Arabidopsis thaliana: one gene and its partner. The protein of the gene in region 1 interacts with the protein of each later gene in a pairwise test. Each region holds a gene or a part of one and is shown on either strand. Other genes may lie near its edges.

Region 1 (7,066 bases):
AGTCTTTTTAGCTTGTGGGAATCTCAAAGATAATGACCTCCAACGAAGCAGCATATCGCTTTCCTTCTCTATTTTTTAATTGGATTTTGAAGTAATTGTTTAGGTGTTTGTTGATGTTGATTAGGATTTTTGAGTTTCGGTGGGAAGATGAAACATTTGACTTTCTCTTTTTGCTTTCAAGATCTGTCAATCATACTATCGAGTTTGTGAATTTTGGCTAATAAAGCGATTTGGTTTCGTTTTTGTAGAATTTCAGACTGGTAGTTGAAGAAAGACGTCATTGCTTACAAAGTCAACAAGGTAAATGTCATTGTCAAGTGGGAAACTTTATAATATATCTTTTGTTTTTCCTCGTGTGTGAATGTCTAAACCTTTTTGAAAGTCTAAAAGGCATTTCCTTTACATTGAAAATAACGATTAAAGGCTCTTGCTCTCGATATTTTGATTTCAGATCCAATGTTCATCTCCTAAACAGTCAACACCATGGAAACACTAGAAACTGAGAAATTCTTCTCAGACGATAAACCTCTCCTAAAACCAATTTCAGATCATTCTGAGATCAAGACAAAAGCAAGAAGAAACGCTGTCGTCTCAGTTCTAATTCAGCCCTTCCAATGGTTACAAATGCTGAGTTCTAGGCTAAACCTGAGCTTCGTGCTAGGTGTGGTCCTTGTGTACGGTGTAAACCAAGGGTTCTCTGGTTCGATATTCAAAGTCGTCACAGACTATTACTGGAAAGATGTCCAGCAAGTGCAGCCATCGGTTGTGCAGCTTTACATGGGGTTATATTACATTCCATGGGTCATGAGACCCATTTGGGGTCTCTTCACCGATGTGTTCCCTATCAAAGGTTACAAAAGAAAGCCGTATTTTGTAGTTTCTGGTGTTCTTGGTTTGGTATCTGCGATTGCTATTGTTGTTCTTGGTAAGTTGCCCGCTGCTTTGGCTTTGAGCTGCCTCTTAGGTGTCTCTGCAGCTATGGCCATTGCAGATGTGGTGATTGATGCGTGTATAGCAACAAACAGCATCAATATCCGATCTTTGGCTCCTGATATACAGAGCCTTTGTATGGTTTGTTCATCTGCTGGCGCTTTGGTTGGATACGCAACTAGTGGAGTCTTCGTTCACCAGCTTGGACCTCAGGTTGAGCCTTTACACCTTTTTAGTCACGTTTTCAGGACGTGTTCCCTTTAGATATCGAGATTAGAAACTTGAAATCTCGTTTTTCTGTTTTGTTTTTTCTGATATAGGGAGCATTAGGGGTATTAGCATTTTCGCCTGCAACTATCGTCATACTTGGGTTTTTCATCTACGAGAAAAGATCTTCTACTGTTCCTACACAAAAGACCAAAAAGGTGAGGCCTTAGCCTGTAATCTCAACTCCTTTGATCTCTCTCACAAGTGACCAGAATTGGCGTCGCAGCAGAATAATCCAAACAGAAATTTTCCTTGTCTTTATTTGTTTCTGCCGGATTATTGAAAATTCATGCCTCTTGACTTTATCTCATGACTTGGAATCTTGATCGAACTCTTGAGCAATCGTTTGAATTTTCTTCAGGACACAGATGGCTTAGGAGTAGCGGTGAAGGGAATGTGCAAAACAGTAAAGTACCCTGAAGTGTGGAAGCCATCTCTTTACATGTTCATATCCTTAGCTCTCAACATCAGCACTCATGAAGGCCACTTCTACTGGTACACTGATCCTACAGCTGGGCCCGCCTTTTCCCAGGTTGGTTGTACAATCCTGAAGAAGCTCTTTTTAAAGATCTTGATTTAAAGAATAAAGATAGTGGTTAAACAGTTTGGGTCTTATATAGATTGAGTTCATAGGAACCAGTATAGTTACTAAACGACATGGGAAGCTAGCAAAAACAGGTTCCCATGGATCGCAAGCTCAAGATTGACACTGTGGTAGTATGTCATGATATTATGTGAATCATATTTCAGACTGTTTCGCTGGTTTATATTAATCTCCATGGAGTCACTTCTCTTGAAAGCCTATTTTAGCTAGGAAAAATCTTGTCTTTAGGTTTGTGAATATCTGCATGCCTTATGAAATGGTGTTGAAATTATGATTGTGTGGTAGTGTCACATTGACATATAAAGCTATGGAGTTTCTGAACAAGCTAATAAAATTCTTTATCCAATAATGTAATTATGAGCTAGATTCAAACTTGCTTATTTTGGTCTAAATGCAGGAGTTTGTGGGAATAATCTATGCAGTCGGGGCATTGGCATCTATGTTTGGAGTTCTCATATATCACAAGAAGCTCAAAGGCTATTCCTTTAGGAACATACTCTTCTTTGCACAACTTCTATACGTCTTCTCAGGAATGCTTGATCTAGTCTTCATCAAACGCTGGAACTTAACTCTCGGGATACCAGATTCCTTGTTTGTGATAACCGAAGAATCTTTCACGAAGATGATAAGTAAGATCAGGTGGATCCCCATGGTGGTTCTCAGTACAAGGCTTTGTCCTCTGGGAATCGAAGGCACCTTCTTTGCTTTCCTCATGTGCATTGATAGTTTTGGACAGCTTGCTTCTAAATGGGGTGGAGGGTTTGTTCTTCACGCTTTTGGTGTCACGAGACACGATTTCGGAAATCTCTGGCTCGTGATTCTGATAAGGAATATTTTGAGACTCGTCACTGTGTGTTTCGTTTTCCTCGTTCCAGATTCCGATCATTTGGATGATCTTGTACCTTCTGATGTGTTGCCAAAGAAACAATCAGAAGATGATGATGATGACGACATTAAACTTTTGCTTCTGTAAAGCTATTTTGTATAACATGAAACATTTCGAACAGTAAATGCCTAACATGAACAATTTCAAAGAAACAAAATCTACTAATCAGATGGAAACAGCTTGTAGTTTTTTCATATTTTAAAGGAAATACATGCCGTTTTGTCGTACTATATCTGATGTCACATGTTAAGCGACAGAGACCCTATGTTATTTTACGATTTTGCCCTCTTGTTGGGTTATACAGTATTCGTTTTTCTCTCTCAAACAGTGAAACTTCTTCTTCTTCTTCTCGTCTTCGTCGTCTAAACCTCAAACTCTGCTAGCGAAGTCACAATATCACTCGAAGATGGTAATCGATTTCTTCTCCTAACGTTCCTTTTGTGTAGTTTTAGTGATTCCTTAGTCAATCGCGAAGAAATTTGAGCAAATCCTTTTGGTTAGATCGTGTTAGGTTTTCGAATATCGTTCCTTACGCAGTTTGAATCTCAGTTTCTGATGATTTCTCGTTAGTTTACGGAACATAGAGAAGGAAATTCAAACTTGTTTTGATTGTCTCAGTTCTTATAAGCTGACTATTATCAACTTTCTTCTTTGTTGTGTAGGCTAATCACAACAGTAGTAGGCACACAATCATCTTGTTGCAGAATTCTCCGAGCAGAGCTACGAGGACTTTCATGGACTATGACTCTATAGGCCAAGCTATGGATGGTAATTATTAATTTCGAATCATCATTCTCTAACTAGTCTACTCATTGTTGACTTTGGTTATGATTATGTTGAGGTTTATCTTTGTGGCAACAAGATGGATGATTTTGAATTACGACATGTATATTATATAATTCTGTAGCTATTTCTGTGACTTATTAGGAAGTTCAGATTTTAGTACCAGTGCTATAAGCTGATTGATATATAGTGTGTGATGAGTCTGCTCGGTAATAAAGTGGTAATAAAGTGGTTTGTATTTTGATTACTAACTTGTTTGCTCAATAAAGTGGAGGAATTAGCAATGTAGAAGAAATGTAGGTTTCTTAAGTTCATTACCTCTCTTCCGAGTGTTTAAGTGAATTAAGGAAGCTGTTTTTTTGTTTTTGGTTTTGTAGAAGCAATAAGTTTTTAGCTTGCAACGCTGATTTTTTTCTGGTCGTAAACAGGTATTTGCGGCTTATATGAAAGGAAGTTGAAGGAAATTAACCCTTCTCTCAGAAATATTAGCTATGACATTGCTGACCTTTACAATTTTATTGATGGTCTTGCTGACTTGAGCGCTTTGGTGTAAGTCTTGCCCCTTTCTCTTCTCTTAAATGCTTTAGGTCCTTCCAGGTACTGTCAAATTCACATCACCCTTTCACATTTTTACATAAACTAAAAGGAGGATCCACATTGCATCATCTATAAAGAGCATGAATTGTGTTTATTCTTACTCTTTCCCTCTAAATAATAGTATTCTGTTCCCACTCATACCATTCTTTTGAATTCCTGGATGTTTTGGTAGTCGTTAAAAACATTTAGGAATGTTTAAACTCAAAGCTGCAACAGGCACATGCACAGTTGTTCTTTTGCAAAGAAACTTTCTTCAGAAATTCTCTCTTAATATTCGATAAACTGCATATATCTTGTTCTTAACTAGTTCTCCACTTGCAAGTTCACAGTAGATATTATAGAAATCTCTTGCTAGTAATGTTTATAGAGATTAGTAGGATTCCCATGTTGTATAACAAAACTGTCAATGATCATTTAATTGCTAGTTTGCTACTAAGTTCATTGATAGCTTGGTGCTAATTAAACAAGTAAAGAATCATTATTAGTATCATGATTTTCCTAAAAAGATGGTTATTGCGTGTGAATCGTGAAGGGATTTGTCAATGTTCTTATGATTTTCTAACAAAATCCTCTGGTCATTTTGCAGCTATGACCACTCGATAAGTGCATATCTGCCATATGACAGGCAATGGATTAAGCAGAAGGCATTTCACCATCTGAAGAGAATTGCCAATGGAGGCAGATGAAGAAGAAGCATCATATGAAATTGTCTTACCTGAAGAAACATATGTTGAGAGAGGCCATTTAAAGCATCATCACTCGTTATTATATATATTTGCCAATGTAACATTAATTAATATGCATAGAAAGAGTTGTGGTTCTCTTGGATGTGTTAGCCACTAAAAGTATCTTTGCTATCCAAATTTTAAGCTCATTTCTAGTTTCTATATCAAATTCTTCTTCTCAAATTGATGAGATATTTTGAATCGTCCTCGACTAGAAATTATATCATACTTCGTATAAAGTAATCTTTTTGTTAATAAGTAATCTGATGATATAAGATTTGTAAATTTTAAGTGAACAAAAAAAGAGTGTGTATTATTCTCTTTACCAAGAAAAAAACTGGGTTAAGACTGAACTCTGAAGAAGGTATTTTCTGGAGCATTTTAACCTTTATCTCTCAATCTGCGTTGAGACTAGAGACCATTTTGGTGCCGTGCTATTATCGATTGACAAATTTCCGATTCTGAGAAAAGTTGGATGGTGAAAGATGAGTTCTTTCTCGATCACCCTGGAAGAAAACACCGTTCCAGAAACACAGAGAAGAAGAAGAAGCCAAGAAGAAGGTTTGTTTCTTCTTTTCTTAGCTACCAAAATCCTCAATAGCCTCTATTGGTTTGAATAAATTTATGGTAAATGCAGAGAGCGGAGGATGAAACAGCTCGTCTGTATCAAGAGTCCGTGGAATCGTTTCAAGGGGATAATGCTGCAGCTAAGACTTTTGTTAGAGGTGACAATCAATCCCAATGATAATAAGCTCAAGCCTGATTCTCAAGGTTAGTCTCTTGGAAACCCGACATTGCTTCATCTAGTAGAACTGGAGGCTAGTTTTTCTGTGTTTCATTGAATTGTTTTGATCATGTAGATTGGTAGAATTATGTTTCTATTACATTGAGAAACATGTTAATTAAAAAAAGTATGGACGTTTTCTTCTATGCATTCACGGATCACAGGTGAAAAGTCCAGAGATGGGGATTCCATTTCAAAGAAGGGGAGTAGGTATAACTGTGATTGCTTTTGATTAATCAATCTCTGTCATATCTAATTTCTAGTGTAGGCCTCTTTGATGTGTTTGTTACAATGCTAGAGTTAATTCCATTTCTCTTGTGTTTGTGATGTTTTGGAGTACAATAAACTTCTGTCATCTGCACATAGCAGTTAGCTGAGGTTTCCTACTTCATCAGTATAAACTGTGGGTTTTGAGATGTTGTCCATGCGTATGGCTTGATAAGTTAAAACCAATGTCCATGCTCTTGTGATATAGAAGATTGTCTTCCATGTAATTTCTACAGGTATGTTCCCTCCTTTCTCCCCCCACCATTGGCATCTAAGGGTAAAGGACCAGAGAATAAGGTCAGTAGTTAGAGACCATATCAGTATTTTATATTATTCTGGTTCCTGATTTAAAGTAATGGTTTAACTGATTATTAGTACAATTTTTCCTCTTTCTAGAGGGATGAAGAGAGATCAAAGGAGATGGAAAAGGGAAAGACTCGAAACATAGATCATTTTGTGGAGGAGCTCAAGCGTGAACAAGAAATAAGAGAAAGGCGAAACCAGGATCGCGAGAATTCCCGTGACCATAATAGTGATAACACGGTATGTCGTCATAGTCTTTACTTTTAACCAAATACGTACTGTTGTTTATTTAGAGATACGTACTGCTTTCTGGTATTAAGGCTGTACTTCTCTCAGTCATCTAGCCGCTTTGATGAGCTACCTGATTATTTTGATCCCAGTGGAAGGTTAGGGTCATTGGACGATGGTGACCCACAAACTACAAATCTATATGTTGTGAATCTTTCATCTAAGGTTTGTTCTCATCCAACTTAAATACCTGCGTTGTTTTCCATAGCTATATATCATAATTTTCTTCCCTTGCCTAAAACTTTTGTGGTATTGTCTTTTTTTAGGTTGATGAAAATTTTCTTCTGCGGACTTTTGGAAGATTTGGGCCAATAGCTAGTGTTAAAATTATGTGGCCAAGAACAGAGGAGGAGAAAAGGCGAGAAAGGCATTGTGGCTTTGTTGCTTTCATGAATAGAGCCGACGGAGAAGCTGCAAAAGAGAAAATGCAAGGTTAGCTATACCGTTCAGTATGGAACTGTGTATGTTCATGCGAGGTTCTCAACTTAAATACGTTCGCAGTGTACAATATGATAAAAGAGCAAAAGATGAAGATTATTTCTAGATTTGTTTTCTCAGGTTCCTGCATAGCGATAGCATTTTAACTAAAACTTCAGATCAGCATATTTTAGTAGGTTCTTTAGTGCAAAGCC
Region 2 (6,859 bases), on another chromosome or scaffold:
TACTTTCCGTATAAACAAAGTTGTTTATTTAAATGTTTATGATTTTTGAACTCTATATATTTGTCTTTCTTCCTAACCATATTTTGTTCATTCACACATATTATTTGTTTTATGATGAATTAAAAAATGATAATCTGGAAAATGGCTCCAAATTCTTTACTCTCTAAACTATTTATAAACATACTTACATACATCATTTTAATATGAAAGAAATTGCTCTAATTCTTGATCTAACCAAAGTTTTTTGGAATCTAATAGCAATAACAATCTCAATAAATGTCTTTTGCATTTCTAAACGGTTGCGTTTTTACCGCAACTTTTCATTAAAATATTTAAAATTTGTTTTACGGTCGTGTTTTTTTTGTCAAATATTTTTAAAATATTTATGGTTATGTTTTCGGACAGTTATACTTGTGTAACTATAGCCGTATCTATTTGATTCTGAATGGTTGTATCTTTTTATCGTAACTTTTTATTAATATTATTTGCGGTTGTATCTTTTTATCGTTATTTTTGTTAATTGCATATTTTGGTAAAACTTATGTAATAATTCGAATATTTGAATTATTATTATAATAATTTAATACATAAATATTAGGCTTGGGCGTTTGATTATGCTGTTCTAGCCTCTTAGGATCCATAAGGGAACCAAAAAAGTTTCGGTTCGGTTCAGATACTTAGAAAGAGAGCCGACAAATTACCAAATTCTAATAGATATCGGTTCGGTTTTGATCATTTTACTCAAAATACCAAAAAAAGAAACGAAAAATATCCGAAACTTTTTTACCAAAATAATAATGGTCCAAAATATTAAAAAATTAACAAAACTTTTTTGGGTGATAGGTTTTTTAAAAATGTATTGGCTTAGATGTAGTTTTGTATAGAGTTGACCAAATATTTTTTGGTTCGATTTGGGTATCCATAGATATCCGTTTCGGTTTGCGTATACCGTATATCCAATATCCAATATCCAATGGATAGTTTGACTGAGATTCAACAGGAGTATTTAGTGGTATCTTGATACGAACCGGAACCCTTTTTCAGCTTGGTTTGGTTTGGTTCTTTGGTTCCGGTTTTTATGCCTTGATCGTTCTAACTTCTATCGTTAAGTGAAGTAGTGGTTACTTTTCAAGAAATTTTACAAAGCCGAAATACTAAAAAATTTGGGGTCGATTGGTAACGACTGTTATATTTGGCTATACAGACTTTGACTATAGAAATTTTGGTTGTAGAGAATTTGGCTGTAAAGACTTTGACTTTAAAAACTTTGGCTGTTAAAGTATGATTGGAACTAAAAACTGTAGAAACTGTTACTATTATTTTTACAATATATATTTAGAATTGTGAATTATTTGAAAATGAGTTTTGTGATAATATACTAACAAAATTAATTTATTATAAGTTTTAGAAAAATACAAAATAAAATAAATAGATAAATATACTCAAATCTCAGTAAATAAAAAATATATTTAATCCATATAAAGATCTGATTAGGTGTTTTGGATCAATGAACTATCACTGTGATGCAATTGATGCAAAAAAATAATGAAAACTGGATCTCTAAAAAGTGAAAATAGAAAGATGATTATTAATTAATCAAAATATTTTTGAGTTAAATTACTTATTGATAGAGAAATTGTTTTTCATTTGTCATGGAGAAAACGAAAAGAAAAAAAAAAGAAAAACAGATTTTATTTTATTATTTGTTTTATAGCCCAAAAAGTCTCACATTGTGACTTTAAAAAACTGAACCTGAATTGAATAAAATAAAGCAGTTAATTTATTTTCCATCATCCGGGAGTGTGAGAGAGTTCTCTCTCTTATCTCTCTAATATCTTTTAGAGAGAGAGCCACATCCAAGTTTCTTTTGATGTTCCACAAAATCCATTAACGTCGTCCAGTTTCTTAACGCTGGCTTTGAGTCTGACATCCACCGGCTTCTCATGCAGTAGTTGGTCAGCTTCTTTCACGGCATCATCTGGCTTTGTTAGCAGAGATGTCCGATCCGCCGTCCGTCAATGCTTTTCACAGCGTTTGTCAGCTTGCTTCTGGCATCCGTCGGCTTCTTAAGCGACGGTTGGCTGGCTTTGGGGTTTTGTTTTTATTTTCGTTTTCTCTCGATTCATTTTGCTTTAGTTTGTTTGGATTTAGTTTGCGTTTTAATCCTTTGATTTGACTGCATAATTCTCTGATCCTTCTTTGTTTAAAGAGCTTAATTCGATTTTCAAGCTAATTTTCTCAATTTTAAAAATCGGATTTGAAGTTGCGGATTGGAGTTGTCGTTGGATTGATTTTAACGTAATTGAGGCTAATTTCTTCTTACCAAAGCATGTGAATCGTTTTATCTTTCCTGTTTTTTAGGTTTAATAATGGAAGCCTTGTCAGCTTATCTTTTAAGTCGATGATCCCGGAATTCATGAACTGCGTTTATCCATGGAAGATTTCAATTTTGCAGATCTAACGGCGAAGTTTGTTTGGGATTCTCTGAATTTGGTGGTGATGTTCATCGGATATTGTTGAGCCTTGATGTATTGATGCTCGTTACGACTTTTTCCGGTGACTAAGAATTCCTTTCGGTTGCAAACTATGTCGGCTGACCGACGATGACCTAAAACTCCGACGTCTCACGTGTTATCATCATTGTCTCCTTTCGTGACACGTGTATCTGTGCTGGACATGATCGACTCTTCCTTCAACCAGTGGTTTCATGAATTGTTGGGCTTATGTTTGTAATGGGCTTCTTTTTGCCGTCTCTGATACCGGGTTTGAATAACCGGTTTGAGCGTTTGTCTCTTTGTACTTGAAGTATTGTAAGATGTTATGCTTTTAATAAAAAAAACTTTTATGTGAAAAAAAAAAAAGAATAAAATAAACCAGTTACCTCAGATTCCTTGGATACTTCAAAAATGTCGGTTTGCCTATGAATCATAGACTTTAAAAGCTTTTAAATTAAATAAAGTCCTTAAAGTGGGATTAGTAAATTTTTGGCTTTTAATTTTTGTTCCAATCAACCCCTAAGACACTCAAGAAAAGAAGAAGAAGCATAAAAAGAGGCCTAAATGCCCAGAGAATTAAACAAATGGGCCTTAATATATAAACAAACATCAATCTCTCGCCGTCAAAGGTTACATCTATCGCCGTCAAAGGTTCCATCTATCGCCGCCGCTGAGACCGCCACTTTAGGCCGTCTCGTCCGCAATCTCCGTAACCAACACCACCCGCATCGCCTGGTAAGCTCGATTTTTTAATCATTTCGATCTCATATGATGTCGATCTGTTCAATCTTGCGAATTCGATCTTTATTTTGTTCTGAGATTTAGGGTTTCACGAATTTGTGTTCTAGGTTTTCTGGCTTAATCATTTTTATTGTTAACTGTTCTGATTGGTTCTTATGCTTTTGGTTACACAAAGATCTCGACTTTTTGTTGACTCTGTATGCAAATTTGTCAAAAGTCAAAACGTTGTTACAGAAACTCTCTTTCGTGCTTGTGTTTATGTATGAACAATAGCTTCGCTATTGGGTTTGTTGATTTCACCACACTTGATTAAATATGTATATTCTATTGAAAATGTGGTCAATCTTGGCAATAAAAATTGAATTGTTGGTTTAGAATGTGGTCGTCACTCGTGAGTATAGATTGGATTAGTGGATCGAATTATTAAGTCAGTGGATTGAATTGTGGTATTATTAAATTGCTAGATTTTGGAGTTGGTTTCATTATTAAACCAAAGTCTAATGAATGTAAAGTTGAATTTATGGAAAAGTATTGGTTATTTCCGGTTAAGAATGGATTACTTGAATTATAAGTTACTTCATGACCTGCCTTGCTATTAAAGTAAAAACTGGTTGTTACACGAACACAGTAGAACAATGTATTAAAAACAGCCCTTCCCTCTCTCTGTCTCTATATATCTGTCTATATCATAGTTTTATGAATTGATTTTTGTGGGGGATGATTTTGCAGCGAATTGATCGGTGAGGTGGAAGATGGAGTTTTGTCCCACATGTGGGAATCTGTTGCGCTACGAGGGAGGTGGGAGTTCGAGATTCTTCTGTTCCACATGTCCATACGTTGCCAATATCGAAAGACGGGTTGAGATAAAGAAGAAGCAACTTCTGGTTAAGAAATCTATAGAACCTGTTGTTACTAAAGATGATATACCCACAGCTGCTGAAACAGAAGGTATTTTCAGTCTCTGGTCTTCTCTTATTCTAAATTTAGAACTGTGATTAGTTAGTTAGTCCATGCTCTGTTGATTGGTCGACTAAATTCGTAAATACTTTAAAGTTGATTGGTGGAAATCAGTTACATAATTACTCATGTTATGGAAAGGGCAAAAACAATAATGCTAAAGTGGTATTACATCATTCATGGTATGCAAGTGCAAAAACACTTGGGGAAAGAGTAGAGTAGACTTTTTGTTCAATGACTTTCTCATGTTGGGATTGTTTTGTTTTAACAGCTCCATGTCCAAGGTGTGGCCACGACAAGGCGTACTTCAAATCAATGCAGATTCGTTCAGCAGATGAGCCAGAATCAAGATTTTATAGATGCTTGAAGTGCGAGTTCACTTGGCGTGAGGAATGAACCGATGATCATCACCTTCTCTGTACCCGCTAATTTTGCAATCTTCTTTGAGTTTGTTTTACCATTACAAAGTTTGTAGTTCCTCTATGTACTCTGGTTCTTTCTGTCTCAGAGCTCAAGAGTTTCTGTATTTAAAACAATCGATAAAATTTTGGAATATTGTGCAAAGTTTTAATTTTTGAGGTGAAGAATGTAAGCAAATTGATCTGTTTTGAGATTTTTAGTATCAAGACTGCGATGTATTTGTTATTGCATTGGTATTTGACTTCTTCCTCTTCCTCTGTTAACGTAACCTCCAGATTTCAATTTCTCACATTTCTTCGTCTTCTTAGCAAGAAGATGTCTAAGCAGAGGAAAAAAACTGTATTAGCCACCGTTTTTCGCAAGTCATGGTACCACTTAAGGCTCTCGGTGTGCCATCCCACTAGGTTCCCGACTAGCAACTAGTTCTGAATAGGCGAAGCTTTACGAGTGGCAGCTCCGGCAAGCTAAACGTATGGGACGAATAGCTAGCTCCACTATCGACTTTGGTCGTTCTTGATCCAGATGGCAAACGGATCGGGTATGGTGCTACTACTCTCAACGCCATTTATTCTCTCGCTCGCCATTATGAGAAATCGGGTGTTGATCCTGGTCCCGAGATACACATTGTGTTGACAGGTTAGATTATTCATACGATGGAAAGTATTCCTCACACTTCCTTATCTTGCAGCTCATGACCCTGATAGTCTTGTTCCTCTCCTTTTTGATCATATTCTTGCTACCGCTTCATGTGCAAGATAAGCTTTCAAAGACAACGGTGATTTCCTTTTTTAAGCTATGTAAAACAGACAAGGATGTGTGGATGCTGATTTTTGAGTTTCATTTGTGAAGGTGGATTATTTATTGGAGACGTCCTTCCTTGTTTTGATGCTTTTAAAATCACTCCCCTAAAGAGGCAGCTTCCATAGTTACTGTGCCTAACACTCTCGATATTGCCTCCAACCATGGTGTTATTGTCACATCCAAATCTGAGTCTCTTTCTGAAAGCTATACAATCAGTTTAGTCAATGATCTTCTAGAGAAGCCTATAGTAGAGAAGCTTGTCAAGAAAGATGCGATCTTACATGATGGACGGACACTCCTAATTAACACTTGGATAATATCTGGGGCAGAGCATGGTTAGACCTGATCGCTCTTGGATGCTTGTGCCAACCCATGATCTTAGAGCTTATTCCTAAAGAATGACATTGTAATTCACACATTACTCTTCTTGAAGTTGACATATTGTAAATGCAAAATATCAATGCCTTTAAAGAAAACAAAAACTAGTTAAAGAACTGCAAATATCACATGAAACGGAAACCATCAGTTTCTTTTCACATTTTTGTATCTCTTTTCTGTTTCATATTACACAACAATTCCCACAAGCTTTTTTGAGCTTTATTTTGAGTTCTTCATTATATATAATTACTAGATAAGGTCCGCCTATATAGGCGGGTGTATAGGCGGATGTAAGATAAAAATTTATTCAAATATTCATTAAGAATATTTAAATTTTAAATAGTAAATATTGATCCAGACATTTTTTCTAATATTTAATTTGGAAATATTTGTATTAAATAAAATTTTAATCATACACATTCAATTTTACTATACATTTTAATTATCTATTTCATCATAATAAATTATCTTGTAATTCTACACACTCCATCTTTCTTTTTATGGTAATGTGTAGGGGACAAAATCCTCGTATAATATATTCATAACATAAAAGTACATTCGGACACTTCATGGAAACGACATCCCATATGTATCCTCTAACAATATCATACTTACACCTGTGAGAAACATCAACTAAGTACAGACCAAGCGATAACTAAAACACATAATTTGCTAATCATTTCACTATTCATTCCTATACACATGAGTAACCCGGACTATCATGTCCTTATACACTCCATCTTATTGATGATATTTGAATTTTAAATAGGAACTCACATACTTTTTCAGTATTTAATTTAGTATTTCCTTAAACCAAATTTTAATTTTACAAATTCGATTTTACAATATAATTTAAATATCTATTTTACAAGAATAGAAAATATAATTTATTTCTTTACACTCCATCTTATTGATAGTTTTCCATTTTTAGTTAAAAAAAATTTTAAGTTAATTATTTAGATATAAACATATAAATTAGTATATGTAAATATGATTTTTTTAGTTTCCTATCTTTTTTTTAGGAACAAAGTAAAAAAAGCAACTAACACATGTCAAAATCTGATCGA

The links.
Region 2: the proteins of ER (region 1) and AT4G07950 interact in a two-hybrid assay, tested with the Arabidopsis thaliana proteins (one large-scale study listed by BioGRID).

The regions. Positions count from the first base shown.
Region 1 is NC_003076.8:3,416,584-3,423,649, reverse strand, and holds ER (enhancer of rudimentary protein), read left to right. Parts: upstream 1-2,957; 5' UTR 2,958-3,093; coding exon 3,094-3,096; intron 3,097-3,349; coding exon 3,350-3,455; intron 3,456-3,898; coding exon 3,899-4,019; intron 4,020-4,653; coding exon 4,654-4,753; 3' UTR 4,754-5,040; downstream 5,041-7,066. Other genes in the region: AT5G10820 (Major facilitator superfamily protein), read left to right, coding at 484-1,143, 1,251-1,355, 1,559-1,729, 2,199-2,774; AT5G10800 (RNA recognition motif (RRM)-containing protein), read left to right, coding at 5,268-5,353, 5,430-5,563, 5,741-5,786, 6,080-6,140, 6,240-6,386, 6,483-6,599, 6,701-6,866. UniProt on the Arabidopsis thaliana protein: May have a role in the cell cycle.
Region 2 is NC_003075.7:4,794,922-4,801,780, forward strand, and holds AT4G07950 (DNA-directed RNA polymerase, subunit M, archaeal), read left to right. Parts: upstream 1-2,919; 5' UTR 2,920-3,230; intron 3,231-3,965; 5' UTR 3,966-3,988; coding exon 3,989-4,184; intron 4,185-4,464; coding exon 4,465-4,589; 3' UTR 4,590-4,874; downstream 4,875-6,859.